Kluyveromyces lactis: one gene and its partners. The protein of the gene in region 1 purifies or fractionates together with the protein of each later gene. This does not show direct contact. Links are inferred from orthologs where the notes say so. Each region holds a gene or a part of one and is shown on either strand. Other genes may lie near its edges.

Region 1 (3,911 bases):
GTCATACGAAGGAGGGAATTTTCACCTATCCTCGCATGTACGAAGAAGAGGTGGACAAAAATATAGAAAAGTTTGCAGCTGCCGTCTTGTCAACTACCGCCAAGGCCAAGGCAAGAGCTAAGAAAGGTAAAAAAGGAGAACATGAAAAGGTTAAAGAAAAGGATGCAGAAAAAGTAAATGAAGAAAAGCAAGAGGTGGAACTGGAGGAAAAAAAGAAGGAAGAGGCCAAGAATACTGAAGAAGCTAAGATCAAATACACGACAACGAGCTATGATGTTGAAAACCTCACCCGTGTGCTTCCGCAGCAACTCAAATTCATATCTTTTGCGAAAGATAGCCGTTTTGTACCTGTTCGCAAATTCAGAGGAAACTCAGGTGTCATTATCGTTGAGGATAAGACACCTGAAGAACCACTAGAATTAATCAAGACCGTAAGACAAACAAAAGATATATATGCCCCATTACCATCTTCATTTAAAGTCGAGGATTCTCTTGAATTTTAATCGAGAAATTAGGTCCTAGCAATAGCGGTCATCCTTCATAATGTACAGTAAATAATCACCTCAAACTAAGTCGTATCTATATGCAAATAATTCAAACATGTTTTTGCAACAGTCGATACTAAGCCGGCTATAATAACAGATTATATAAGTGTTCATGTAAGTATACATATTGATAACTACTTGATGATTCAAGAAAATCTTGATAAGGCTTCATCAACAAGGTCTTTGTGATCATCAGCAAGTTCACCCTTCTTAATTTTTTCTTTTCTTTGGCGGCTAGACTTTTCCTTCTCTAGTTGTCTTTGTACCCTTAACTTCCTTTCATCCACAACATTACGAGTTTTCTTTCGTAGGAACGCACGTAATCCGGAGTTCTTACCTTTAACATCAGGTCTGGCATCAGGAATGTCTTTGTTTAGTTTGGATTTTTCTTGCTCTGCATTCGAGATAATTGCAAGATCCTTTGCATTTAATCTGACTTGAGAAGCACGAGAATCTACTGTACCTATTGTGTTTGGATTTAATGTTATAGAATCAGCAGGTAACTTATTCAATAATGATCTCACTTCTTGTTCCTGTCTCTGTTTGCTTGTTTCGTATGGGTTGGCCTCTAGTGCGTCGTAGTTGGCTTCCCCTGCGCCTGGAATAATCAAATTGGTTATACCCTTTTGATGTCCAACACCTAGCAAATCTTCGAATGGCGCAAACTGGAAGTTCTCTATTTTATTTCCAGCGAATAAATGAGACATATACGGAGTATTTCTATCTTTGTAACCGCTAGAGGTGAAATACGGTCTAGCAGCTTTCCCACTTTTCAACGTATCTTTCCAAATTGTTACATGAGGCCCTCTTGATACTGCAAGTAGACCTGTATCTGAAATTGCAACGTTAGTACCGGGCGTAGGCATGTTCTCAATACTATGTACTTCTTTAAAGTTTCTGATATCCCAAATCTTTAAAGATTTATCGGAACCAGTGGTGGCCATATAATAACCTTGTCTATCTACAGCAATTCCTGTTATTGATCCTCTAGATGATAATAGTCTTACCAGTGGTGATGGCATTGATGGTGACCATAGAGTGACTGTGCCGTTGCTATGTCCCAAATGCATTACTGCATTCCAAGGGTTCTGAGCCATCGCTGTAGTAGGACCTAGTTTAGTTCTGATCTCTGATACTAGTTGACCTGTCGAAACATCTTGATATTTCAAAAAACCTGTTTGTCCTGCTGTTGCCAAGAGATAATGATATGGTAAATATTCTAAATGTTTGACCTCTATGTGCTGCTTTAAACGATGCAGCTCTACACCTTCATGATCGTAAATGAACGTGTATTTTTTTTGTGCTACTGCAAAGAACTGTTCATTTTGCAAATATGTTGCTGCTTGCACTGTCTCCCCGAGATTTAGCTCACCACGAAGTTCACCTTTCCTCCAATCAAGAGATGCTACATGGCCCTTCCGACCTGCAATAAGCATATGCGTACCATTTCTGGAATAATTTACACGGTACGGACCAAAATCGTTTAATTTCAAGTCCAATGCCTTATTGGCCATGGAGGCGTCAACATGGTGTTTGATTTCAGCCTGTGTGAACTTGAACGTCTTTTCCATCTCATCTTCTGCTTCTAAATAACCATGCTCTTCGGGTAAAAGATATTCTGTAGCAGCAGTAGAGAGTACCGCTTCCTTATACTTCTGATCAATACGCTTCAATCCTGCCTTTAACTTCTTATCCTTGGTTTTCTTCTGCATCTTGTGAGACCCGTTGGCATCATCATCGTTATTCGATCTCTCAAATTTGTCCTGATTGTCTCTCCGTTGTAGGTCACTATACTGTGACTTACTACCTTTCTTAGCAACCATTATTGAATATTGATTCGGCTTCTCGTGAAGTGATACCTGATATCAGAAGATGTAGCAGTAAACTTGCAGAACCTTATATTGTGAAGCTCATCTCATCTCATCGTTTCTTAAAATTTTCGATATTGGATACTCGAGAAAAAAAGAAAAAATCCTTAAGTTGAGCTGAAGAATGATAGACATTACCAAGTAAGAATTGTATATGACTGATAAATAGATCAATCGGCGCATAGTACATGCCCAAAACGTGGGGAAATTCAGTTATAAATACCAAACCCAATGAGTCCAAACGATTTCTAACCAAAATAGCAATCATTTCTTCTTGAAAGAGTAGTTAAGAGTAGTTCCCTGAGTATTTTTCACTTGATCTGCATCCTGTAGTACCGGTGTAAAGTAGTATACTACCTTCTATGCATCTAGACATATGATAGGTATCTAAAAGAAATTAAATCAAAGTACAAATTAATATGCAATGGTGACCTCTGAGCTAATTGCACCAGGCATCTGCTAGTCACATACTTTTGTTCCTCACAGATGTGTTTCCGGAAAACACTCCGTCGAGTCTTAACTGAAAAATGAAATGAAAATGAAGAACTTGAACTAATGTTTTGGTCCTCCCGCAATGAATAGAGAGCTAGATCGTGTATCGTTGTTCTTTTCTCTTGTTATACAAGATTGGAATAGGCAAGTAGAGGTCACTCCGAATACCGCGTATTTTGCTTTTATCAACTATGAATAGTGGGTTCCCACGTATTTTGAGCAAGAAACTTTTTACGCTAAATCAATCGCAGTTCTTTGTCAAGAATGGCATGGTCCCATTGAAAGCAGGCATTTCTGGCCCTAAGCTTTTGAAGTACACTGTTGGGATAGCCATTGGTTCATTTGCGGGATTCTATTTCTCCAATTCGAGGTCTGCTTTCCATGAGTACGTCTTGTGCCCGATGTTGAGACTTGTAACGCCAGATGCTGAAGATGGGCATAAATTAGGTATCTGGTTCTTGAAGAATGGGTTGGCTCCAAGATTATGGTTCGATAACGATGATAAGGTATTGAATGTGAACATTTTTGGTAAGAAATTGACCAATCCAATTGGTTGTGCTGCCGGTTTGGATAAAAATGGTGATGCCATCGACGGTATACTTTCCGGAGGATTCGGTTATATAGAGATTGGTTCTGTGACTCCATTACCACAACCAGGAAACCCAAGACCTAGATTCTTTAGATTACCTTTGGATGATGCTGTTATCAACAGATACGGTTTCAATTCATCCGGCCATGACACCGTTGTCAACACATTACAATCCCGTATTACCAGTTTCATCAACAGTTACATGTTTAAGGACAATTCCGTTGAAAACTTGTCCTTATACAAAGACAAATTGTTGGGGGTCAATTTGGGTAAGAATAAGACCGGTGATGAAGTGCAAGATTATTTGAAAGGTGTAGAAAGCTTTCAAAAGTACGCAGATGTTCTAGTAATTAATGTGTCTTCTCCAAATACCCCGGGTTTGAGAAGTTTACAAAAAGAATCCATCCTTACTGATCT
Region 2 (4,062 bases), on another chromosome or scaffold:
GCTGATATTGAATTCTCACACAAATCGCTAAGGTTGGCCGACCCCTTGAATAATGAACTCGTCAAACCATCAGTTAACGTATCAACAAAAGCAGAGTTATTGTTGAAAGCCCTTGATCATGTCTTTTTCAGATCAAAATCTGGCACTAAACAAAGAGCTGCTGCGTTCACAAAGAGAATTTACATGGCTTTGCTGCACACTCCAGAAAAAACATCAATTGCACTGCTGAAGTTTTTGGATAAACTAACTACCAAATATCCAGAAGTACTGGGTTTATACTCTACAGACGATAGAATTGGAAATGGGGAGTTCCGCATCGACACAGACTTACCAAGTAGAAGTAATGCAGAAGCAGCAACTATATGGGAAAATAGCCTTCTTGTCAAGCATTACAGTCCTTCTGTTGTAAAAGGTGTAAGATCATTATTCCATAAATCTCAAGAACATAAATAGTTTGGGGGATAAAAAGATAATTAAGAATTCTCTTATTTACCACCTTCATTTCAATGCAATTGCATTAATTATAGTAATATATACTTACTGTAACAGTGTCTATAACTTGAAATTGATGTTACCAGATGCATTATCCTTCTTTATATTACCCTTAACATCAGTTTTGGCACCCTTTTTATCGATAACGGTTATGTTCTTGGATTTAGTCAAGGTATTAAGAACATCATCCGTCTTACTCTTCTTTCTAGGTTGTTCGGCTCTTTTCGCAGATAGCTTCGATCTCTTTCTCTTAGCAGCTCTACGGAGTCTGTTTTTATCCTCTCTGGACAGTTCATCTCTGGACATCACCACACCATTCTTCAAAGTTATTTCATTAGAGTTCTCTGATTTACCAACTTTGTAGATTTCCTGAGGAGCTAATGTGGAACCACTTGACATTGTTAGTGGTTGTGCATCTTCCATAGAAATAGCGGCGGTTTGCACTCTTACTTCAAGATCTTTCTTTATCGGCTTAGGTATGAAGTGGGCTGACGATAATGCATCTAGTTTGTAAACCAAATCTTTATATAGCTCTGAAATTTCATCGTGACTTTTCTGTAATTCTTCTGATATTTCAGTATCCTCGGTAACACCTTTGAAATCATCTTCATAAATTTCAGCTAGTGATTTTGATGACTTTACATCACTTAGTTCGAATCTTGGTTTATTATTGTAGCCTGAAATATCGCTGATAACCCTCCTCTGTAGATCGTTAAAATCTTCTTCCTTGATCCTTCTACGGATCATATTCTCGAGAGTTTCTGTTACCTCAGCTGTTATAACTGGCACAGGTTTGGCAGTTCTTTCGAACTCAAGATCTTCCGTTAACAAGGCATCTTCTGGCCTATCGCGAGCTTTTACTTCACCTTTTAACGCCCATTTCTTCTCAGCAACAGCTTCCTTTTCGAGGGATTCTATTTGTCTTTTTAGCTCAAGTTGTTGACGTTCAAAGGTAGATAATGGTTGTTCAGCAGTTTCTTCATCTGATCCCTGAAAATCATCGTCTTCGTCAGCAAAAAGATCTAACTTAGCTTCCTCCATTGCATCATCATACTCGCTTTCGTCAAAGGATTCATCCTCTTCGGCCTCTGCTTTCTTTGAAGGTCCTGGCCGCCTGTCCTGGGAAGATTTTTTATTAGATGGCTTATCAAAGAAATCGTCGTAATATAGAGCTTCTTCATCTTCCTCCGATGGAACATCTGCGAAATAATCAACTTCTTCGTCATCCTCATCTTCTTCATCTGCATCTTGGCTTCTATTCTCAGCCTCAAGTGTTTGTCTATTGAATTCATCTAGATTGAAAAATTGATCGTTTACACCAAACTTGTCTTCGATCGCTTGTGGACTTTCTTGTGCTTCTACAAATTGATCATCAGGTTCCGAATCACTTTCGTTTTCCAATTTATCTTCTTCCTTCTCATGTAATTCTAAAGGTTCTGGTTCTGAGAACTGTTGTTCTTCATCTAAAACGAGCTCTTCATTTTCTGCTTCTTCCTCCTCCTCTTCAATAGCAGACTCTTCAGAAACTGGAGCTTCGTCTGCAGACATTTCATTGGAATTTTCAACATTAGAGGCATCATCTTCGTCTCCGCTGCTTTCCTCGCTCATATCATTCTCATTATCAACCTTCAGTTCGGCGATTTTTTCCATGATATCACCTTGAACATTATCTAAAATGATTTTTGACTGCCACCATACCTGGTTAGCATCTAGCCCATCAACCACTATCTCATCTAATGTTGTCTTTGAATTTCCATTGTTTTTATTCAGATTGATGACTTCGTCAAAGTAAGTCTTCACTGCCGATAGTGGTTCCTTGGACTCCAGAGCATCCTGGGAAAGAAGTCCAACAGGATTAGTTTTCAAAATTTCCAAAAACTGACTCATGTTGTGTTATGTGTGGGTCAGTGAAACGTTACCTATTTACTGGTGTAGCTGTAGTGGATGTATCGATACGATCAAGCTGCTACTATAGACGCATATTTCGTACATGCTGAGTGATGCGATGAGATGAGTTTTCATCAATTTTTCAGGTATCCAAAAATTTGAAAAAGAAAAAAATGATGGGAACTGTCGCCAATGCGGGTAAGAAGAGAGATAATAGACACAGTTGTGAGGCATTGGTTGGGTGATGAATACTAGACAGAAGTACATATGGGTGAAAAGTCATTATATGAAGTGTGATTCCCTTAGTTTGGGTGCTAAAATTTTGCATAAAGACACGTAGATGCATATACAAGAATGAGGTGCTGGCAAATTCAACAGCATTTGTAGGTAATTCATGAGGTGAAGGAGGCGTATACTCCAAGAGTGGATAATACTGCACTAATTAATATCGTAATATTACACGCTATCAATTCCCAAGATTTAATGGTTTTGTAGCAAATTCTTTTGTAGAACAAACATGGCAGAATGAAACAAATCATGAAACAAAGTGCAGCACCCAAGAATGCAATTATTTTGTCAAATTCAGGGAATAAAATAGCAATAATCACGAACATAACATTCACCATGATTCTGTTAAATATTCTGGTTGCCTTTGCGAAAAAAACCTTCGATGCTGGTTTAGTTTCATCGATGTGCACTACGTTAAACATTGAATCAAAGATGGAGACAATCGGTCTTGCATTAAGTGGTGTTTTGGCAAGTGGAATCAGTGAAAGAAGAGTTGAAATTAGGCCATAAACAAAAGGCGGGTATCCTGGAGTCAATAACACACTTCTTGTCACTTCATTCATAACAAGATTACCGAACATTAAAAATCCAACGACAGCAATTCCGATATCAGTAACAATGGTGATGCTATAAGTGGTCTTCAAACAACGAGTAAACTTCTCCGGATGCCTCATATCACTCTTTAAGTTGGGAAAGACTGCGTGACCTCCCCAGCATGCACTCAATAACCCTAAGGAAAGACAAAACTCCTTGAATGAATTGGGCCACATCGATGTGGCTTCTGGTTGCAATAATGACCCTGGTGAATATTGTTTTAGCAACCCACAGAAAACTACTAACAATGCAGTTCCAATAGTCGAGATAATACCCAACAAAGAGATATTTGATAAAACACTTAATGGCAAAAATATTGGAGGAGTAACTGCAAAAAAAGCGACGAATTTGAAGAAGTTGACCGAATATTCTGGGAACAACGCGTTCAATGAATCACCGAACAAAATGATCAAGGCTACACCACATGCTAATAAATCCATAGCAAATAGGAACGAGATCAATGCACGACCTTTTGGACCAAAAGCTGCATATGCCAAATCTCCGTAAGTCGAAATGGATGGATCTGCATCCAAACATCTTGAAATTAACTGAGCGCTACAAAAAGTAGCAAATGCAAAAATGAATAAGATTGGAACACCTAATACCCATCCTGCATATCTAAGACCCAATGGTAATGCTAATAGTCCGATACCGATTAGCACGTTGATTGAGTTGAAAATTGTCTGAGGTGCGGTCGATTGACCAGCGATGACAGTGATCACTTTTCCAGCCTTCGTCTCAACTTGTTTCAAAATGATTGCATCTGCTTCTGGACCAACGGCATTGCCCGAATCATCGAAG
Region 3 (4,330 bases), on another chromosome or scaffold:
TGACAATTCTTTGGAAGATTCTTCCCAGCCCTCGCCAGTTTCATCAATTTCATATTTATTTAGGTTCAAGGAATTGATCAATTCTTTCTGCTTTTCTCTCATTGCGCTGATAGCTTCGTTCCCTGCATTTTCAAGGTCATCTTCCATTTTGTCAATGACTTCGGCAGCATTGTAAGACAACACTTCTTCGCCATTCATTTCGGCAATTTCTTGGTCCTTGATTTGAGGTAAGGTTTTTTCAATAGACTCGCTTAAAACTTCCCTGAAGAAATTGGTGAATTTCCTGATAATCTTGGAGAACATGGCAATAGTTTGATTGGATGGTAAGTTCAACTCTTTCGTTATGTCATCAATGCCCTTGTGTTGCAAACCAATTGCAAGTAGTATACACGATTGTACGCTTGATAATGATACACCGTCACCCAGCTTTCCACTAAAGTATAGCAATGCCATCATTGGTAGAAGATCAACAATGACATGATAATCCAGTAAGTTGTTAGCATAGCTTTCTAACCTCTTTAGATCGAATGGAGAAAAGATGGAATCCAATTGGTCCCTTGTTAAAACCTTATTCTGGAACGATCTGCCCTCCGAGTCTTGGTCTAGTGTTTCACCCTTCTTAGCAGATTCAATGACATTTAACGCTTCGATGGCAGTGAATTTCTTAAAGTCGAACGATAATAAAGACAAGAATCTTTTATGGAAATCTTTGGCAAATTCTGCCAGCCATTTTGATTCACGACCTTCAAGAACTTTAACCATAACACATGTATGTTCACCAGTCAAATCATTCGCTGTTTGACGTAAGTAAACTGGGACAAATCCGTTGTTTTTCCAGAACTTATGTAAAGATTTTGTTAAACCATATGAAACACCTAAGTAATGCAAAAAGTGAGGGGTTTGTTCTGAGAGTTTCAGAAGCAATGGTGGCAACGTCTTTGCATCCCTTAATTTGATTTCATCTTTCAAGAGGTCTGCTTTCTTCAAATCCCTGTCATCGACTCTCTTGATTGTGTAGTCCTTTTGTACCGTATCTTCATTCAAATCGGTGAATTTACCTTCGAAATGATCTTTCAATAACTCCAGAGCCCTAGACCCATAACCCATAGAGGCGTATTCCGGATTGGTTGCAATCCTAACAACACGGGCACCACTCAAACCGGCAAATTCTTCATCTTGAAATTGCTGTGAGATTAGCCATGGAATTAAGTCACCACCAGCTCTTTGACCTCTTGCCAAAGAATTTCTGACAGAATCCTTCGAGATCTCACCTTCCAATGCGACCTGGATGACCACTAAGGGATCAGGTATTCTGCCGCCATCTTTTGGATCGATGGGAGGCAATAAAACGAATAGTTGATGAGCAGGTGCATCACTCATTAATTGCAAGTCGTTAGGAGAATTCTTGTAATGCGATGCGACATAAAGAGCCATCATCTTCTCCAGAAAATTTTCAGAAACAGGATGATAAGAAAATAGAGTATCTCTATTGACGATGAATAAATTACATTGAGATGGATGAGGTGTGCCTCTAGCAGCAAATCTTGGATTTTTGATTAGTTGAACGTCCAAACAAAGTAATTTATTCAACCATTTTTCAACTGGGTCACCAGGAGCGTATCTGATAGGTTCATCTAAGACAACTTCTCTCAAAGAACGGCCACTTGTTTGAACTTCTTGTTTCTTTGAATCTCTGGAAACAAGTGCTGTTTCGGAATCTTCACGGCCAGTACCGTTGGATTGAGTTCTTAGCTGTTGAATCAATTTCAAAGACAAAGATCTACCGGTACCTTCATAACCGTTAATAGTGGATGCCATAAACACTAAGTACGGACCCAAAAGCTTCTTTACAAGTGGTAGTGGAATTGCGGCAGCTTCATCAATGACAACAAGTTCTGCCTGTCCCAACACATGAGAATCATTTGGAATAATATATTGAATGGTCTGTCTATGTTCTCTCTTGATGTCTACTCTGACTATGGCTTTGTTGAAGCTTGGATTGGTGGACTGAATGATATCATAATCAATGTGCTCCTGATAGCCTAGAGCGTCAAATCCTTTGAAAATAAACTCAAATAAAGTCTTCAAATTCTCAGGGGAAGGAGATGTTACAAAGATATTGGAGTAACCATGGGATACAGCAGCAGCAATAGAAATACCTAGAGCAGCTGATTTACCTCTACCTCTACCTGCCGTCAATGCTACAGTTGAATTTAAAGTTTTCTCTGAAATGGCATCAATGAAGGTCAAGATTGCATGAGCTTGATTAACCGTTTTTGAAAGAGCAACTAATGATCCCGCAGGCTGAACATCTTCTAAAGACACTTTCAATTCTTTTAGTTCTTGATTTTTTGGTGAAATTTCTTCATCATCCTTTGGTGGAAGTGGTTTTACGTTTTTTCCTCCAGATATAGGTAAAACGTTTAACTCACTATCTACTACCAAACAGTTTTCATTCGAACCCAAGGACAAGATAAATCTTTCGTTGAATCTTGCCACGACATCGTCATGAGCTTCCGTTCTATAACGAGAGTGGATATCCATAGTCATAGTGTATAACTGTTTTAGAGAGGAAATGGACTTTAACATGATAACAATGATACCACCACCTTCAACGGTTTCGATGGTTCTTGCTAGCAAATTTGGAGTCAAAGCTTCAAAATCTTGTAGGATACACATACCATAAGTGTTACCCAAAATTTTTTCAGTTTCCTTATAATAACAGTATCGAATGTTTTGGTTAGAGATGAAAGTTTCAAAAGGATCTTGTTCATTTATCTCTCTGGTACCTCTCTTGATCTCTTTCTTAATCTTTGCTTCTCTCTTCTTCCTGTGTGAAGTGAAACCCAAGAGTTTCTTCTTATACGTCCATAACACGGATTTATTCATTTTGAGGTCAGCACTCATCATTAAATAGTGCAAGTTCGGTAGCTGGTTACGAGCATTGTCACCAACGATAACGAAAAATGATCTCTGATTTGTTTGAACACCATTTCTGATGAGAGCTGGGATACGAGAATCAATAGCTTTTTTACCCATCGTAATCTAACTTCTGGTTTAAAGTTTTAAGAACACACTCTTTAACAACAAACAATGACAGTTACGTTTCGCTGGAAGTTCGACCGTTGGGAAGAGTTAGTGTTTTTAATGATTTTTTTTGTAGTAACGAAGTACAGTAATCAGGTATTTTGGGGAGAAATAAACGTCTCGTAATACTCAGATAGCTTCTCAGCAAACCACCTCATCTCATTTGATCTCATCTCATCTCGAAATAAAATTCCTACCTAATACGATGAAATAGTAAAAAGACAATGAAAAAAAAAAAAAAAAATTAGGCAGAGAAAAGAAAAGATACTACTTACCCGGAATTATTTGATGAAAATATACTGTTACCCGCATGAATTTCATGCGCAGTGTAATTTCGGCGGCTAATTTCAAGAAATGACTACGTGTGCATAATGCACCATTATGTGATGTCGACTAATATTTTAAATTCATATTTAAACTTCAGTAGTAGTTTTCATGGGTATTAATTAAAGTTTTCTTCATGACTGACGAAAAGGGAAAAACTAACATTATATAAATACCAGTATTTTTGTGTCACAAGGAATAAGGGCAATATTCTTATGAAATAGATCCGATGAATAAGATAAGAGGTTAAGAACTGACATCAGAACGAGGTTCGATTATAAGGTTGTTTCTTTACCTGAACAAGCGCAGTTGTGGTTATCTCTTATACGGAACGTACGATTCCTAGGTTTTATTTTGGTTTTATTTTTTCGTGGTCATTCAGGTAAGCTCGGCGGTTATTCCATAGCAATAGCCAGGAGGAGAGTGAGAGCTAACTATATTTTCTTTTAATAGGAACAGAGTATAGTTTTATGTGATCAAACTTGCTATGATGGAGGATTTGGACCATCTGAACGATGAGAATATCAATATAGATGAGAACGAATTTTTGGAAACACTTGATAATGCTGACGGGGACGTGATCAAAACTTTTAGGAACGCTGACGGGTCATTAAGTAGTCATTTTGACAAGAGAAAAGTTCGTATTGCTCCAAGGTCAACATTGCAGTTCAAAATAGGCCCAGGCTTTACGCCAGTGGTGCCCAATCACAAGATATTGAACGATTTTGGACAGATTCAAGAAATCAAATTGGAGCCTCGGATTGATCGAGGGTTTGATTTCATAGATGACGATTGGATTGGTTATAAAAGAAATTATTTCACCGTGGTAACTTCATTTGACACACCGGGGACTGATCATATCGAGTTCATGAAACAAGCGTATCATTTAGATAACGGTGTGGAGATCAAATACTTCGCT
Region 4 (4,330 bases), on another chromosome or scaffold:
AGATGCATACGGTTTTAATTTATGGACGTAAATCTAGCGAACAGTTTCGAAAACTCTCTTCTTTGCAACCTTTTTCTCATGCTCTAACTGCGAATAGTCATCAGTGAACTCCAAGTTATGTCTTAAGTTCCATTGCTGTTTGATGAAGTTAAGACCGGCGATGTTAAACCCAAGATCGTCTGCATTTTTTTGCAACATTGTTCTGATGTTGGTCTTCACTCTTTCAATTCTCTGTTTCAATTCTTCATTCTTTTGAGCGACTAATTCCTTATTGTTCGTGCGAACTATAAAGAATAGGATTTTACAAATGAGACTTAGATGTAACAACACTAAATCTTTTTGCTTCATTATCACATCAAAGAATTTGAAGAATTTGATAACATATGAGAATGGGAGCACAAGTAAAGAATCTTCGAGTTGTGATGGTTTAATTTTCCCTAGTGTGTCCATGATGTATTTTTCCGGTTTTATTTTCATGGCAATTAAGATGGCGTTACTTTGAGGTTTCATTGGTGGTTCACCACTTTTCTTCTTTTTCCATGACTTAAGAGATTTTTCGTAATTTTCCCAGGATTCGATCTCGGCTACACCTAAGTCTAGAGCTTCCATTAACTTTTCACCTGCTTTTAAAGACTCAAGAGTTTGCTTATTAACACCACTAACCTCATCAATCACTCCGTCATCTCCACTGTTTTTGTCCCTAAGGAACTGATCGTCTCCTGATCCACCTTCTAATGATTTCAATAGTGTTTCTTCATACTCTTCTTCCATCTCTCTTTCTTTCTCTTCTTCTAAGAATACCTGATCGTCAGTTTCTTGCCATACTCTAATACTATGATCATGAGAAGTAGACACAACGGTTCTTCCATCTGGTGACACTGCAATACACCACACTTCACTTTGGTGACCATTGAGCTTTTGAATACAGTCAAATTTGTCACCATCCCATCTCTTGACAGCACCATCCTTACCACAACTGAAGAAATTATGAGTGTCGGCTTCGAATCTTACTGACATGATAGAATCTTGATGAGCAAATATGGACTTGTGACAGTCACCAAAGTCAACACCCCAGATCTTGATGTTCTTATCTGCTGATGAAGTAATTAACATCTTGGAATCTACAGAAAAATCAATAGAAAGTACAGGTAGTTTGTGACCATAAAGACTTAAGTAGAACTTCAAAGAATCGAAAAAGAATACTTTCACAGTATTGTCTAGTAATGAAACGGCTAAGTATCTATCTTCTGATGATATCTTAACAGCCAAAATATCATCAGTTAGTTCCAAAGTCGTATCGTGGACTAATTTAAGTTGAGGAATGTATTTATCCTTTGTGCCTGGGACCAATTGTTCAACAACCTCGAAATCCCAAAATTTACAACTTTTGTCCGCTGAACCAGTGACCAGTCTTTTACCATTGCTAGTCAAATCTAATGACCAGATTGCTGCCGTATGTGCTTCTGTAGTAGATAGTAATGTAGAACTAGCCAAATCAAATAGCTGAAGTTCACCTTGTCTTGTACCCACAACCACCAATAATCCACCAGGTAGCATCTGGGAACACAACGCATAACCACAGGAAAAGGTACGGATACATTTCTTTGTAGTTAGATTCCATACTTTCAATTCTCCGTTAGATGCTGTACTCAATAGTTTCCCATCATCACTGATGTCCATAGATCTGATATCAGTTCTATGACCTTGTAATTCGACGTTATACCTTCTCACTGGTGGTTCTGCATCTCTTTTACTGTATGGAATTTGATAACTTTCAATGGTATTGTTAGAAGTTGTGAGAACCACTTCCAACTTGCTATTACTTGCTTGAATCCAGTTGGAGGATTTAATTTTGTAACTTGAGCGTACCGTGGAGAACGAATGGAATAAAACGCTGATATCATTTGGGTTAACCGCCTCCTGAATTTCCTCTTCAGAGGCCCCCTTATCCCTTAGCCTCTTTTCACGTCTATTAAGAGCTTTCCTGATCTCTTCTTCCGGTCTGATACGGAAGATTTCTATTGTCTTGTCGTTATTCTGGATATAGAAAAACCTGGTACCGTTTGGTGCTGTGATAAATTCAGTGGAAACACCTCTTTGCTTACTTTCGGTCTCGAAAGTACCACGTTCTGAAATTTTTTCTCCATTACTCTTCTCTAAATCTAATTCCCATATCTTGGCCTGTGAATCCATCGAGGTGGTTATTATGACTTCCTCATCGATTGCCATCGACCAACATTGACCAGTATGCGCCATATGCGTCTCAACACACTGACCACCAGCCTTAAGATCCCATACCTTGATAAGACCATCCTTGGCCACACTAATAAGCCAGTCCATATTATGGTCTATCCAGATACCAGTAATGGCATCTTTATGTGATCTGAGTTTCATCAAACCAACTTCACCGACTAAATCCCAAATGATCAAATCACTGTCTTTACTACCAGAAACTAATCTAGTACCCTCGGAATCCAATCTCAACACGGTAACACCACTCTTGTGTCCGTTAAACTGCATCAATACACTTTTAGAAAGCAGATCCCACACTTTAATCACACCATCTTCGTAACCAACACATAACAACTCTGTTTCCTTGTGGAAACACATCGCAGTTACTACTGAAGGTTTAGAAATATTAGTCTCTACTGCACCGATAGGTAGCCCATCAGTAAGTACTTCCACCTCATTAGTTTTCAATGTCCATATTTGAATATTCTCCAGAGCACCTGTAATTAGCTTGCCAGACGTTGAGTTCGTAGCTGGAAGATAGATCGACTGATTTGAAGTAGAAATTAACCCAAAAAGACCACTTTGTTCAAAACGTTGATACGATTTAACCATTGTGTATCAATTTAAACTCCACACTGCGGATAATAGTAGCAATAACTGATATCTTACACAGGGTTATAGTATATAAGTTTTGTTATACTTGTTCTTGAACAGCATTATGCGATGAGATGAGATGACCTTCCATAGTTTTTAACGTTTTGGAAAATTTTGAAAAATACAACTTGAAGCCATGAAAAAGAAAAGGGTGGTTTATACATATATGAGACAGGCAGAATAGGACAAAGAGTATTAAGAATCAGTTTCCCTGGACTTGATTATGCATTGTTGTAGGTACTCATCCACTTCTCCATTTTCAATATTTTGAGGAATTGTTACATTAATAGATATATGATATATGATGTATAATATATGCATCAAATTAAGTCTGTTTGAATGAATGAACTTGTTTAAACAGTGGTAATTTATCCATTTCACTTCTTTTCGGGATGTGTACGTGCAGTTTTATTGTTATTGATTGCATTTACCATTTGATTGTACGAAGGGGTTGGATTCCATTTCTTGGTGCTACGGATTTCATCGTTGGCAAACCCTGGGATTCTGATATTCCAATTACGTTCCAGATGCATTTGGATGTCTCTTACGTCGAGTGAATCGGATTTTCTATGTTTTGCCAATTTACAGGCGAAATTCGTAACATTAGTAATGAAATCGTCTGCTAGATCGAGTAATAGCTCTTCCACATCACCATCAATGGTGGTTTCACCATCACCTTCGTCTATACCCACCGTTTTGACGAGTTCACGGAGCTTTCTTTTAGACATCACACGCTCAGTATCGACCTCATATGGCGGTAGTTTGGTCATAACAGGTGTAGTTAGCGCTGGCGCGTTCATACCACTACCGCCTGTTATCGTAGGTCTGTTGCTTCTGTATGACACTGAAACTGTTGGGGATGCGGTGACATTTTCACTTATTGGTATCGATGGGTTTGGTTGCTTGAAGATTGGTGGTCTTGTATTGCTTTGTGCTGTTTGATTTGCAGCTGCATTCACCGTTGTCACCTGCATTGGGGACGATTTGTCAGAAGCTGTGTTATTTGGTGCGGCAGCTGCTGAGCTCGGGTTTGCGTTTGTTGCAGTTGCAGTAGTTGCAGCGGTCTTTTGAATTGGTATATTTTGTCTTTGCGCCATAGCATTTGGAGGACTACCACTCGAAGCTTTATTCAAACTTGTTGGAATTGGTGTACCGGTGTTGGTTCCTGGAGTAGAAACACCAGCCTGAGGTCCCGGTGTACCTGCATTTGCAGCTACTGTACCCTGTGACTTAGCAGCATTAGCTTTTTGTTGCTGTGCTTGTAGATATCTTCTTAAGTCAGCATTAGTTTGAGAACACTCAATGTAAAACTTTCTTCTGTCCTCTTGATATTTCTGTTGTAATGTCGAATACTGGGCACTCAATGCCCTGATTTTCATTAATAATTCATTCCTGTTAACCTCTAATTGCTGCACCGATAGACTGTTACCTCGTCTATTCCTGA
Region 5 (4,349 bases), on another chromosome or scaffold:
ATAGTATCTTATCCTCAAAAGTTGCCCTGAAATGGCCTTCTGGTTTTGATAGAGCACGCTTGATTTCACCACGAATACCGGAAACAGTCTTGATTTGGGCACCTTCGAACCGTGCAACTTCCATAGCGCTAGAGAACATATCCTTTATGAAGGCAGTGTTCTTGAAGATTTTGTAAGGATAACCAACAAGCTTTAATTTCTTCACAATTTCTACGCTTGCATCGATCTCCTCTACAATACCAGTCGCAGCTATTCTGAAACTTCCAGTTGTATCACTGTTAGCAACTATTTGAACACCACAGAAAGTGGTATTTGGCGAGCACAAGGGACCATAGAAAGAAGCTGTACAATAAGCATGTTCTGGAGTATACTTCAACATTCTAGTCCTGGTTCTAGAGTCACTAGTGGTGTATATTGGTAGAGTTTGGAAACGTCTCCAACCAAGAGATAAAACTAAAGGATCATTTGTCTTGAGAATCTTTTTGTGCCAACGATGTCTTCTGACTCTTGCATTAATAATTCCGAACTTCAATTCTGTGGGAAGAAGACCTCCCATAATTACTGGATACTTTGGGTTGAAATTTTCGATGAATTCCATAGGAACCTTATCGAAGACAATACGAACATAAGACCCAGCTTTCATACCTTCGATTTGTTGCCTTTGTTCAGGAGTCATAGATTCCAGTTCGGCTTTATTGATTTCTAATTGTTTAGCAATCTTAGCCTTCTGTAATTCGTACCAGGTATCGTATTCATTTTCAGGGTCTTCTCCAAAGTTGTCTCCTTCTTCCATTTCGAATTGTAACCTTAATTTCTCTTTTTTTGCGGCATTCAATTCACGCTCTTCATCCTGGGTCAAATCCTTCTTTTCTTCTTCTTCGAAATCAGCGAACGATTCGTTGCTATCAGATTCTTCATCTCCTGCAGCAGAATTCTCCTCCTTCTCATCTGTGTTTTCAGGCTCAGCTTCTAAGTCCTCAAAATCACCGTATACTTCATCTTCATCATCGTCTTCATCCTTTACATCATCAGAAGACTTGGTGTTTAAGGATGGCTTTCCAACAAATCTGTCTTTGATTGAATCGGCAGTTGACCATCTTTCAACAAGGTCATTGAATGTATCAAAATAAGGAATAAATCTTTCAAGATCATCGTGGTAAGTTACTGCCTTATTCGGTGTAGTATTTGTCTTTTGGGTGAAGAATTCAGTATCTTCATCGTCTTCTAGATCTTCTTCAACTTCAGTTTCGTCGGCCTCGCCGTTCCATCTTTTGATTGCATCAGCTGGAGCAATGTTGTCCATGTAGATAAGTTTGCTGATATCCCACTTTCTTCTTTTATTCTTTGTACCATTCAATTTACCAGCTGTGGTTCTTTCCCAACCTTCAGAATCAGATGCATCCAATTCTGAATCTGTCTCAAAGGCCATGTTTTCAGGTTTTTCGTCATCAAAATCAATTTCAACTAATTTAGTGCGATGTGCTTCATCTTCGTCATCATCTTCATTATAGTTTTCGTTGTCACTTGATAAATTATCGAGATCTGCGTTAGATTCCTGAAGGGATTTGCCGTATACTCTTGCCTTTCTTAAGGAAGATCTACCAACGTTTCCTCTATCAACATCATCCTCGTCTTCGGTGTCTTCTTCAACTTCTTCATCCTGATCTTCAATAGCATGTAACTCAGTACTATTTGAGAAAAGCTGCAATCCAACATTCTCGAATTTTTCATCAATGGAACGAGATGTAGCCTGTAGGTTGGACACGATCTTGTCACTTTCATCTTTTTCCTCTGCAGTCATTGAGTTTGGACCTGTCTTACCGCCAACATCAATGAACACGGCATCCTTATCCATAAGTAAACCACCAACGTCAGACATTGGAGCATAGATCAGCTTTTGTTTATCATCCAATCTTTTACGTCTTCTTACAGTCGTTGCTGATGTGGAACCTTCTTCCTTAGCACGTTCACGTTCAAATTCATCTAATTTCTGTTGGTAATAAGGTGTCGGACAAGGATCAGGCAATTTCTCAACGTGATCGATCTGGTAGTCACCTACACCGGCGATATGGACCCTGTAGCCTGGAGTCGAAGGTAACGGAGTACCGTGTAAATAACCATAGATGGCGACTTTACGATCTATATGCATACCCTTCGATTGTAAGAGTTCTGGATGAGTTAAATCGGATATTCTATCGGCCAATAAATAAGGATGTTCGTTTCTCCATTGCAAAGGTCTGAACTTCATAACACTTATAAACCTTGACAAGTTCAAAATCTCTCTATCTGGATAACGACCGTTAATAACACCAGAAAGGTAGAAAAGCTTGGCACCCTGATACACTTCGGTCCAGAACCTATGTTTCAAAGATTTCTTAGAGGCACGCAATGTTGACTGGGATTTGAAAAGATCCAAATGTGTAGCGACACCTAGTACACGAGGCATACCATGATGTTGAGCCAAATTCAAGAATTCCATGGTCTCCATTTCAAACCCGAAATTACCATCCATCATCAAAAGCACCAAATCGGCCACTTTTGAAATATCGATCATGGAATTCAAATCATCCGCAGGACATTCGATAAAAGTCAGCCTTCTACGCTTACCAGAAACAACAGTAATAGGACCGTTAATTTCGGATAAAGTGGTCTTTGTCAACCTTCTCACTAACGATTTGATCAAAGTAGTCTTACCGGTACCTGGAGGACCAACAACAGCAATAATGATCGGAGGAGGATCATCATCTGGGGTACGATCCACCATCGGAACATGCAACTTCTTCTCATTCTTATCACCCGTACGTTGCATCTGCTTAGCCATTTTCCCCGGAGCGGAGACAGCAAAGGCCTTAGCATTGTGGCCCTGAGAATGTAACTTCTTCTTGGCACCAGCCTTCTCCTTCCGCTTCCTATGTTCTTTATTCGATTGTTCCATTGCTGAAGCTTGAGAGTCTTAAGATGTATTCAGGCAATGTGATTCGAACTAACTGGCCTAAAGTGACCCTTTTGATTCAATTCAAGATACTAGAATCTTTTATGTTCACCGATGAGATGAGATGAGATGGTTGAGCTTCTTCATGCAATTTTTCATGCAGGGTAAGAAAAAGAAATGATCTGAACCTTGTCGATATCTAATCACGTGATTCTGCACGTGATCTGATTTTTAAGAATTTAAGGTATTCTGTCAGTTTTGTAGATATTCCTACATGTCTCTGCCGTAGTAACTAGGGCCCAAGGGCATATGGAAAAAAAAGCGTTCATCGAAATTCGAACATCAAAATGAAATCGAAATCCAATCAAATGCACAAACAGAACAGGATAGAACAAAGGTCAATGAATCAACGGTTGGATTCCGAATAAAAGTCGTTTGTTTCATTCGTTTCCCTAAAAGTTGTTGTGTTTTTTATCTTTAGTTCGTTTGTGTGGTGATTTGGATTTCACAACAAGAACTGTACGTTCTACACCAGTTATATTGTTGTGGATACGAGACAACATCTTTTGGTCATAGAAAACACATACTGTTCTTATTCTTTCCAATCTGTGTGCGTGTAATTTTTACTGAGTTGAAGCAGGAAAGCTAGGATAACAGAGTCTTCAGTGGTGTGTGTTTCCTTGTTGAGCTTTTTATTTTTTGGATAGAATACACAGTGTGAGCAATGGTTTTGTATAAAAGGAAAACGATAACGTTGCCAGATGCTAGGCCATTACCGTCAAATATCAATAGGAAAATATGGTACATTCAAGAGACAGGGGAATGGTTTTTGACTTATGCAGAGTTTTTGCAACGATTGGATTTTTATAGGCGACATTATTTCACCTGTGAGATCACTGGTACATCATGTTTAACTTTTTTTGAAGCGTTGAACAGTGAAGAAGAGCAGTTCCAATACGTTGAGAAAATGTTCCCTTTAAAATTACGTGAACCTGTTGCAAAATTCATCCATTTCAACGAGATTAGAAGGCTAGATATGCTCGTCGAACAGGTATATGCAAGATTTAAAAACGACTATTTCCCTGGAGAAACGGTATACCTACGGAAAAGTAAGCAAGATTCCTCACATGACGATGCTGAAAAACATCATCAGCACTCACATGGATCACAGCATCAAAAAATTTACATTATCAAAGAAAAGGCTCAGTTTAATGCAGTTATAGATAGAGATACAAGGCAAGAATTGGTTCCTGCCCATGCAAAATATATGTTACAGGAAGCACAAGGTAGTACTTCAATCGTTGCCGATGAGGATCAGATTTATCGTGATAGATCATGTTTCACTAAGCATTTGATTAAATGTTTCTGTAAGATAACGTTGCGTCGTGCTTCAACTAAGATGGGTGCCCCATGGTGT
Region 6 (3,631 bases), on another chromosome or scaffold:
TGCCATTATAAAAGACGAATTCGAATCTAACCCAGAAGATTTCAGCGAATTCACTGCGATTAGAACGCTTATGGAAAAGCTGATGCAGGAAGAACATATGGATATAATTGAAGAGGGGGACGAGGGAACTGTCGGCAATGAAACTGAGAGCAATTATGTGCGGAAAGTTAAAACCATAAAGAAAAGAACAAAAGCGAAGATGAGACCAGCAGCATTAAACGAGAAGTCGACCAACATTCCAGACAAAAATGTTCATGAACAGCTAGCAAAGTTGAAGGAACGTGAGTACAATAAAATGCTGGGTAAAGAAGTGGAAGAAAGTGAGTCTGACTCTGAACAACAATCCAATCCACCCGTAAAGAAGAAGCAACGTAAGAGTAAATACAACCTTGTTAGCAACAACTTCAAGCGTTTGAATCTTCCAACAAAGGCAGGAAGAAACAGAGCCAGTAAATGGAGAGGAAGAAGGTGATTTCTTCAAAGTCAGAACGTTAAAAACAAAGAAACAGACGTAACGAACGGGATGATACAGTTGTTGCAGTCTATGTACTATAAATGTAAATAAATATAATCTTTTACACGCATTCCTTTTTGTTATAGATCAGTGTAGAAAGGATTTTATCAGTTTGTTAACAATTGGAGCATACCCTCTATCTTTTGTGCTTCTTTTGCTTTGCGGATCTCTTCCCTTACTCTTTTCTTTAGAGTGATTACCATCTCTTCAAGTACTGGGGACTTCTCCAGTACACTACCGTAGAGTTCAATTACAACCGCAATCCAGTCTGCAACAATTGGTGCACTTCTAACATCTTCTATTCCCTTCAAGCACCAGTTGAGTAGTGGTTCTAGAGAACTTTCGTCTCTACCGTATAATGCAACCTTGATTTTACCTCTTTTCCTTAGTTCTTGTAATACCGTTAAAGTTAATTCTTTAGCCATACCGGGGATAAATGCAGAATCTAATGCGTCAGACCATTTGAATTGGTTGATATGCCTTTCGAATTGACGCAACTTACGCTGAGGATTTGGCTTATCGTTGTGTATAATATGCTCTTGATCACCTCTGTATTCGGACCCTCTCATCATTCTCTGGAAATTGTTGGATTTCGCAGACTTCTCTTGCTGTTGTAATGGTAAATCCTCCAAATCAGAGACATCAGCGAGGTTAATCTTTTTGGACTTCTTCTTCGTCTTGATGGCTAGAATTCCTGAGGATAAACCTGCAACGAAATGTTTATTACCTTGCGCATCGCCTGGTGAGACTGCACAACTTAGCACAGCGTTGCTAAACTTCCAGCCAAACTTGAATTGGAAGTTCTCCAACGGGGAAAAGATCTTAACATGACCATCAAGCGAGGATGCAACTAGTACGGAACTCATTGGTGATTCTTCTCCCATATTTGTGTAATTCAAACAGGTGACCGTCTTTGCGAAATTTTGACGTTCACAAAGGGCTCTATCGCTAGTCAAGTCCCATACTTTGAACCCGTTACCACCACACGATGCAAGCTGAGTAGGAGATATGGCTGTGATATCTTCCACAGGAAGACCGTGATCCAAAGTTGTCTGTGGTTTATCTGATTTCGTTCTAATATCGTACAATCTAACTACTCCATCGTACGACCCTGTAGCGACCATATGTGGAGCATTTGGCACAAAGCAGACTGATCTAACATAATCAGATGCTCCAGTTAACTGTAAAGTGGGTTCATAAGCATGAGAAACATCCCATAGTCTCACTACTCTATCGTCGTTTGCCGTCACCAAAGTCTTGTTATCCTGATCGTGAAACTTCGTCACATGCGTAGGATGCGACGAAGCTTGTATAGAAAGCAACAAAGTACGTGGATTATAACTATCATAAACGGACACTAACCCAGTAGCGTCACCTGCTACTAAAAGTTTACCGTCTTGACGGAAAGTGGCCGAATGCACCACATCTTTAAACCTAGAAAACGTCTTGATCACTTGTCTTGTCCTTGACGAGAAGACCTGTACCCTAGTAGAAGAGGTAACTGCAAAATCATGTGGATGCTGGGGATTGAAGGCAATATGAGTCACTGCATTGTGCTCTTTAACAAGCTGAGTAGATGAATAAGACCTCCAGTACCTCTGCTCTGGGGTGGTCTGCTTTGGTAACACAGGAGCCTTTACCGGCGTCACTCTAGGTCTCACAGACGACATTTTCTTCACAATATTTCTACCAATCTGATCGCCTGAATCACCTCTATCACTTAACAGTAGTCTGACGATACCAAACCGACTGATATAACTCGCAAATTACAGGGAAATCTATTTTATCAACCATGCGATGAGCTAAGGCTTCAATCATTTTTTTTTTCCAAAATCTGGTTTCTTTTCTTTGAAGACTCGAAGAATCTCGTTGATTGTGATTTTTCAGAGAAGAATAACCGTTCACTGTACTTTACAAGCAGATAAAGGGCCTTTAAGGCCCTTTATCTGCTTTTAACCTGGTTTCCCAGATTTTCTTGATTCCCAGGTATTCAGCAATACCACTTTCATTATACTAACTGGTATTTAGGATATCTTTTCTTTGTATTTCTGCATCCCAGTAGTTATTATTTCGTCTATTTACATTCCATATGTATGGAATTTATTTATACTCACCAGTTTATCAAGAAACTAAACCATGAGAACAGGACACGTTTGAGTCAGGAAGAGGTCTTTCTGGTGCGTTTACAGAGTGTTCCAAAAGTCAATTGATCTAGTATCTCGCGATAATATGGTTTCGATTAATTTAGCAAAGGTTTTTGCACCTCTCCCTTCTACAAAGAGAAACTTTACGACACATTTATCATATGATCCAAAGACTGACAGTTTAGCTTATGGTAGCGGTAGATCTGCCATCATTAGATCTTTAGATGGTGAACATGTCGTTCAATTCAATGGCCATGGTACCAGTAATGTCACTGTTGTAAAATTTTCTCCTATCCAGGGGTCTCAATATGTTGCTTCAGGAGATGATTCCGGTAGAGTTATCGTTTGGTCTTGGAATCAGGACGATAAGTCTGGAGAAATTGAGTACAACGTTAAGTCGGAACTACATGTGCTCGCTGGTCCTGTCGCTGATATATCCTGGGATTTTGAGGGTAAAAGATTGGCTGTTGTTGGTGAAGGTCGTGATAGGTTTGGTGCGTTTGTCTCTTGGGACTCGGGCAACTCGTTAGGTGAAGTCTCGGGTCACTCTCAAAGAGTCAATGCAGTTCATTTCAAGCAAAGCAGACCAATGAGAGCTTTCAGTGTCAGTGATGATGGTTCTGTTGTGTTTTACCAGGGTCCACCTTTCAAGTTTGCAAGCAGTGATAGAACGCATCACGGCCAAGGTAAATTCGTTAGAGACGTCAAGTTCTCTCCAGGTGCAGGGAAATATGCTGTGTCTGTCGGTAGCGATCGTAAGATATGTTGCTTTGATGGTAAGACTGGTGAATTTATCAAATACATTGAGTCTGAAAAGGCTCCAATTGGCGGTGGTTTGTTTGCTGTCGCATGGTTAGACGATGGTGAAGAGTCTTCTAGAGTTGTTACCGTGGGTGCTGATTGCACTGCAAGGTTGTGGGATGTGTCGTTGGATGATCCATTCCAACAGTCTTGGAAATTAGGTGCAGATGTT
Region 7 (4,326 bases), on another chromosome or scaffold:
ATAAATTGACTGACGTGTGGCTTGTAAAAGTGCCTAAAATTATAGTACACTCATTTAAGTTTCCAACAGATTTTAGTTATGAATTCTTCGACAATAAAAGTACTGAAAAGGACCCCTTAGCTGTCACATTCGCCAATATGTTTGACTTCTTGGTTCTAAGATTAGAACATCAAAATGACATGGATTCGTTAATCAAACAGATATCCTTGATATTGTCCATCTCGTTGTTCGTGTGCTCTCTTTCTACTGTCACTACGACAATCTCTTATCTTTTGACATTACTGCCTGTCAAACTACAATTATTAGCGTTATCTGCAATGCAGAGTACCAATGGCTCTGAGCTTCCTACGAGCAATAAGGATGCATTCTATACCAAGAAACCCCCTTCGATCATCAAAAACCTCGCTGTGTGTGAGTTGACAGGTGTGTACATCCTTGCCACTATCTTGATGATTCGCTCCAATTTACCATATGATGTCTCAAAACAGGTCAATCAACTCTTGGGTGAGAAATTCACTATTCCTGATGTTGTAATCGACGTCTGGTCTGATAAAATGTTCGCTTGCAGTTCGCTCTTGACATTCATTGGTATTAAGGTAGCAGAAAGAACACTACACAGATGATATGCGGCGGAATGATGACCCTATGTTAAAAATCAATTTCGCGATGAAGATCGAGTTTATAATAATGTACAGAAATTATAAATTAGAATACTAACTTTTCTAATTCAAATGCAGGAGGTTGGGAGATCAAGAAGTTTGGTCTTTCCACAATGATTAATTGGTCACTTGCGATCTTTCCAGCGAATAATAGAGGTCTATACTTATCGGTATAGAAAAACGCCTTATCAGATCTCTTCTTGGAGGTGACATCTTGCGCTCTCTGAGTTTTTAAGAGATAATCTTCCTTAACTTCGAGTTCTTCATCGTCTTCATCATCCTCATCGACGTCTGCCTGTAGACCGTCAGTGGAAATAGTTAATCCGTCACGGTCACGCTTCTTTTGCTTCTTTCTTTTGCTAACTGGCAAGTCTAATGACATGTTGATGTTAACCAACCAGTTAGATCCCCAGAACCATACCTTATGCTCATCCATTTCATCTAAGAATATTCCTGTGCATCTCTCTTTCAAGGAAGTAAATTGCCTTGGGAGGTTTTCATGATTGGCTTTGAACCAGTCAGTGAGTAGTTGATCCTTCTCGGATTCCAAATTGAACTCGTATATTTTATTTTCTGATGTCACTACTACTACAGTCTCTCTTGGTGTGATGCACAGTGCAGTGATGAAGTTGTTCATGCGAATTAAAGCTTTACTACTGTTTGTTGTCAAATCTATTAAGTCTAGAGCACCGGTACCTCTAGACGCAACAGCGTAACGTTCATTTGCATCTAAATGGTTCACTGCATTCAAATATGATAGTTTATTGCTGGATTTCGTTGAGTTCGCTTCAGGTAACTCAATAGTTACGGTTTTTTCGTCGTCATCCTCTTCAAGGTCAATTCTAACTATTTCATCAGATTGTGAACACATTATTAACCTAGAATCATCAATGAACTTAGCAAATTTGCAACCAGTTCTCAACAAAAACTCATTGTCCAACTTTGTTACTTTCAATTTGTTGTCTGTTGGTTGTAAATGGAAAACTTTGGTAGTATTTAGTCTTCCCACTAATAAAACTTGTCCGTCAGTTGATAGTGCACAGGTTTGGATGTTTTGTTCATCCTTCAAAACCAATTTACTAACTAATTTGTAGTTCTTAGGCTCATTGACGTCTTCGCCAATATACCATATCTTCACGATATTATCCTGCCACATCACCAATAGTCTTTGTTGTTTGTTGACCAGGATGCTCTTATGGAATGGGGTAACTAGTGGCATCTTTCTATAATTTCCTTCAGCGAAAGAGGACATTGAGCACATGACAAGAGACTTTTCAATACCACCAGACACTAGGAAGTCGGATCCCATACATTGATAAGAGGACATAGATCTAACATCATTGGAATGGAATAATCTGTTTGAAGTACTGATCCATTTCATGCTCTTTCCTGTATCGATGTAAGAGAATTGGAAAATCTTTCTATCAACACCACTAGTGAACAATTGTGAATTATCCAGATCAGTAGCCAGACATAGAACATCGGCATCATGAACCTTGAAAGATTGAGTCAATGTTGCGTAGTTTAAGTCCCAGAATTTGACCGACCCAGTAGAATCACCAGACACAATTTGGTTCTGTTTAGCTAGATACAACACAGACCATACGAGTGTAGATTCTTTCTTCGATTTATCCACTTTCATAGTATGTAATAGTCTTCCCTTGTTTTCGTCTTGCTCCTTAGTATACCATATTCTAATCCTTCCATCAGAACAACCAGCGACCAAAGATTCATCATTGGCTGTCCATGTCAACGATAAGACACGAGATTCTTGCCTTGTAAGTATGCTCTCATGCTCAAGAACACCTTTACCACCACTGATGTTAATAAGTACTACACTGCCGTTATCACATCCGACCGCTAGCTTATTCATATCGTTGCTCATTGCAATGGACCAAATCACACCAGAGTTACAATCGTAATTTACTAACGGCAACCCGGTTGTCAAATCCCATTCTGTAACTACAGTGGAGCCACCGATCGAAAATAGTCTCAAAGGCTCTCCACGAATACTGCACCAGGAAAGACCTTCAATGGATCTTCCTTCACCTCCCAAGATCACGAACTCTTGTACCCAATCATCTCTTGGATTCCAGATCTCAATATTACCATTGGATCTACCAATAGCCAGTCTTAGCTCTTGCGGTGCCGCTTTATCAGTACTTTTGTGTGAAAATGCAAGAGCCGTTATATTACCAGGTGTAAACTGCACAAACCTGGATCGATGCACTACCTGTTTCTTCCCAGTATCAGTCATGATCAAATGTGTTCTATAAATTGAGGACCTTAAACCTGTATCAGAGAACAAAAGCTAATGTATTAGAATGAAACAAAAGATTGACAAACTGTAGGCTGATGTCAATCAAAAAACTTCACTGACTAGATAGAAATATACGACTTTGTTATCCGATGAGATGAGCTTCTGTTCTAAGCTTGTGTGCTCTTAACGCTGAAATTTTTCAAAAAGAAACTAGTTTAGCTTCAACACCGTACAGTATGATCATATCACGTGATATATTAGATCTATTGGGAAAACGAGATTTGTTTACAATTGGATCTTCTCTTCACATAAACAAACTAATAAACAAAGAGGAAAAGGAAAGTGGAAGAAACATCGGCGGCAACCTCATAGCAGCCTTTCCCTGGTGTATACTCGTGGTATTATTGACCAAAAGGGTGCAATTGTTTGATATGGATGTTCAGGATGGAGAATCTCCTACAAATCGTCGTGTTCTGAATTCTATAGCGGAGGTTTTCCAGGTGGCGCAGAAGAGTTATGCTGGTCACAGACGTCATGTAGCTGTCTTATACAGGATTTATTTGAAATGTGTGGAGCAAGAGATATCAGATGTGTTTCATTATTGGTTTATCAAAATGACTGTCAAAATCTTGCCGCTGAAGAAACAGGAAATCGTGGGGGATCGCATTGTTCGGTTGATTTCAGGGTTCATCGCAAATATAGAGTCGAATCTTAACAAGATGAGAACCGAAGATGGTAATGAGCAAAATGTGAGGAATTTGGAAGTACATTTCGGAGGATTTATTGATGGATTTGTGAGGAATCTGCTTCGAGGAGTGGAATCGAAAAATAAAAACGTACGATACAGAGTAATGCAACTTTTGGCCGCAACTATGGATAATATGGGAGAAATTGATGAGGAATTGTACGAGTTGATTATGTGGGTTTTGAAGCATAGGGTGTATGACAAGGAACCTCATGTTAGGATACAGGCGATATTTTGTTTGACAAAATTTCAAAACGATAACGTATCGATGATTAATGAATCAGAAACCGGAGTAAATTTCCAACTCGATGAAGCTACACAGAGTTTAATGCATATCATTAGGAATGATCCAAGTCCAGAAGTTCGGAGGGCAGCAATGTTGAATATTGTACGTTCGAAAGCGACCCAGAATGTTATCTTGGAACGGGTACGAGATGTTAATTTCATCAATAGAAGATTGGTGTTTACAAGAGTACTAAAGAGTTTGGGGAAGCATACGTTCGATGAGGTGGATTCTGATATTTTAGAGAAACTGATGACCTGGGGGTTTGAAGATAGAGATGAAACGGTTAGAAATTCTTGTAAAAAATTAGTTGCCTTCACCTGGTTGAACATCCTGGACGGTGACATCATCGATTTATTGGAGAACATTGACGTTGTGA

Evidence for each region.
Region 2: the proteins of UTP7 (region 1) and MPP10 purify together in Saccharomyces cerevisiae (affinity purification with mass spectrometry; 7 studies listed by BioGRID, with this or other methods). This does not show direct contact. The link is inferred for Kluyveromyces lactis from reciprocal best matches to the Saccharomyces cerevisiae genes UTP7 and MPP10.
Region 3: the proteins of UTP7 (region 1) and KRE33 purify together in Saccharomyces cerevisiae (affinity purification with mass spectrometry; 6 studies listed by BioGRID). This does not show direct contact. The link is inferred for Kluyveromyces lactis from reciprocal best matches to the Saccharomyces cerevisiae genes UTP7 and KRE33.
Region 4: the proteins of UTP7 (region 1) and DIP2 purify together in Saccharomyces cerevisiae (affinity purification with mass spectrometry; 4 studies listed by BioGRID). This does not show direct contact. The link is inferred for Kluyveromyces lactis from reciprocal best matches to the Saccharomyces cerevisiae genes UTP7 and DIP2.
Region 5: the proteins of UTP7 (region 1) and BMS1 purify together in Saccharomyces cerevisiae (affinity purification with mass spectrometry; 5 studies listed by BioGRID). This does not show direct contact. The link is inferred for Kluyveromyces lactis from reciprocal best matches to the Saccharomyces cerevisiae genes UTP7 and BMS1.
Region 6: the proteins of UTP7 (region 1) and UTP15 purify together in Saccharomyces cerevisiae (affinity purification with mass spectrometry; 4 studies listed by BioGRID). This does not show direct contact. The link is inferred for Kluyveromyces lactis from reciprocal best matches to the Saccharomyces cerevisiae genes UTP7 and UTP15.
Region 7: the proteins of UTP7 (region 1) and UTP4 purify together in Saccharomyces cerevisiae (affinity purification with mass spectrometry; 5 studies listed by BioGRID). This does not show direct contact. The link is inferred for Kluyveromyces lactis from reciprocal best matches to the Saccharomyces cerevisiae genes UTP7 and UTP4.

The regions. Positions count from the first base shown.
Region 1 is NC_006039.1:803,969-807,879, reverse strand, and holds UTP7 (Utp7p), read right to left. Parts: upstream 2,369-3,911; coding exon 692-2,368; downstream 1-691. Other genes in the region: proteasome regulatory particle base subunit RPN2, read left to right, coding at 1-503; KLLA0_C09240g (dihydroorotate dehydrogenase 2), read left to right, coding at 3,097-3,911. UniProt on the Saccharomyces cerevisiae protein: Involved in nucleolar processing of pre-18S ribosomal RNA.
Region 2 is NC_006040.1:821,747-825,808, forward strand, and holds MPP10 (rRNA-processing protein MPP10), read right to left. Parts: upstream 2,380-4,062; coding exon 553-2,379; downstream 1-552. Other genes in the region: NOC3 (Noc3p), read left to right, coding at 1-453; AVT1 (Avt1p), read right to left, coding at 2,772-4,062. UniProt on the Saccharomyces cerevisiae protein: Involved in nucleolar processing of pre-18S ribosomal RNA. Required for the early cleavages at sites A0, A1 and A2 during 18S ribosomal pre-RNA processing.
Region 3 is NC_006042.1:2,271,838-2,276,167, forward strand, and holds the start of KRE33 (ribosome biosynthesis protein KRE33), read right to left. Parts: upstream 3,040-4,330; coding exon 1-3,039. Other genes in the region: transcription factor NDT80, read left to right, coding at 3,899-4,330. UniProt on the Saccharomyces cerevisiae protein: RNA cytidine acetyltransferase with specificity toward both 18S rRNA and tRNAs. Catalyzes the formation of N(4)-acetylcytidine (ac4C) at positions 1280 and 1773 in 18S rRNA.
Region 4 is NC_006040.1:1,377,398-1,381,727, reverse strand, and holds DIP2 (snoRNA-binding rRNA-processing protein DIP2), read right to left. Parts: upstream 2,845-4,330; coding exon 34-2,844; downstream 1-33. Other genes in the region: TAF12 (Taf12p), read right to left, coding at 3,264-4,330. UniProt on the Saccharomyces cerevisiae protein: Involved in nucleolar processing of pre-18S ribosomal RNA.
Region 5 is NC_006038.1:180,062-184,410, forward strand, and holds the start of BMS1 (GTPase BMS1), read right to left. Parts: upstream 2,936-4,349; coding exon 1-2,935. Other genes in the region: KLLA0_B02090g (uncharacterized protein), read left to right, coding at 3,657-4,349. UniProt on the Saccharomyces cerevisiae protein: GTPase required for synthesis of 40S ribosomal subunits and for processing the 35S pre-rRNA at sites A0, A1, and A2.
Region 6 is NC_006042.1:1,275,085-1,278,715, reverse strand, and holds UTP15 (snoRNA-binding rRNA-processing protein UTP15), read right to left. Parts: upstream 2,185-3,631; coding exon 622-2,184; downstream 1-621. Other genes in the region: SLD2 (Sld2p), read left to right, coding at 1-472; AIP1 (Aip1p), read left to right, coding at 2,744-3,631. UniProt on the Saccharomyces cerevisiae protein: Involved in nucleolar processing of pre-18S ribosomal RNA. Required for optimal pre-ribosomal RNA transcription by RNA polymerase I together with a subset of U3 proteins required for transcription (t-UTPs).
Region 7 is NC_006040.1:1,131,362-1,135,687, forward strand, and holds UTP4 (small subunit rRNA maturation protein UTP4), read right to left. Parts: upstream 2,917-4,326; coding exon 706-2,916; downstream 1-705. Other genes in the region: KLLA0_D13200g (uncharacterized protein), read left to right, coding at 1-623; condensin subunit YCG1, read left to right, coding at 3,156-4,326. UniProt on the Saccharomyces cerevisiae protein: Involved in nucleolar processing of pre-18S ribosomal RNA. Required for optimal pre-ribosomal RNA transcription by RNA polymerase I together with a subset of U3 proteins required for transcription (t-UTPs).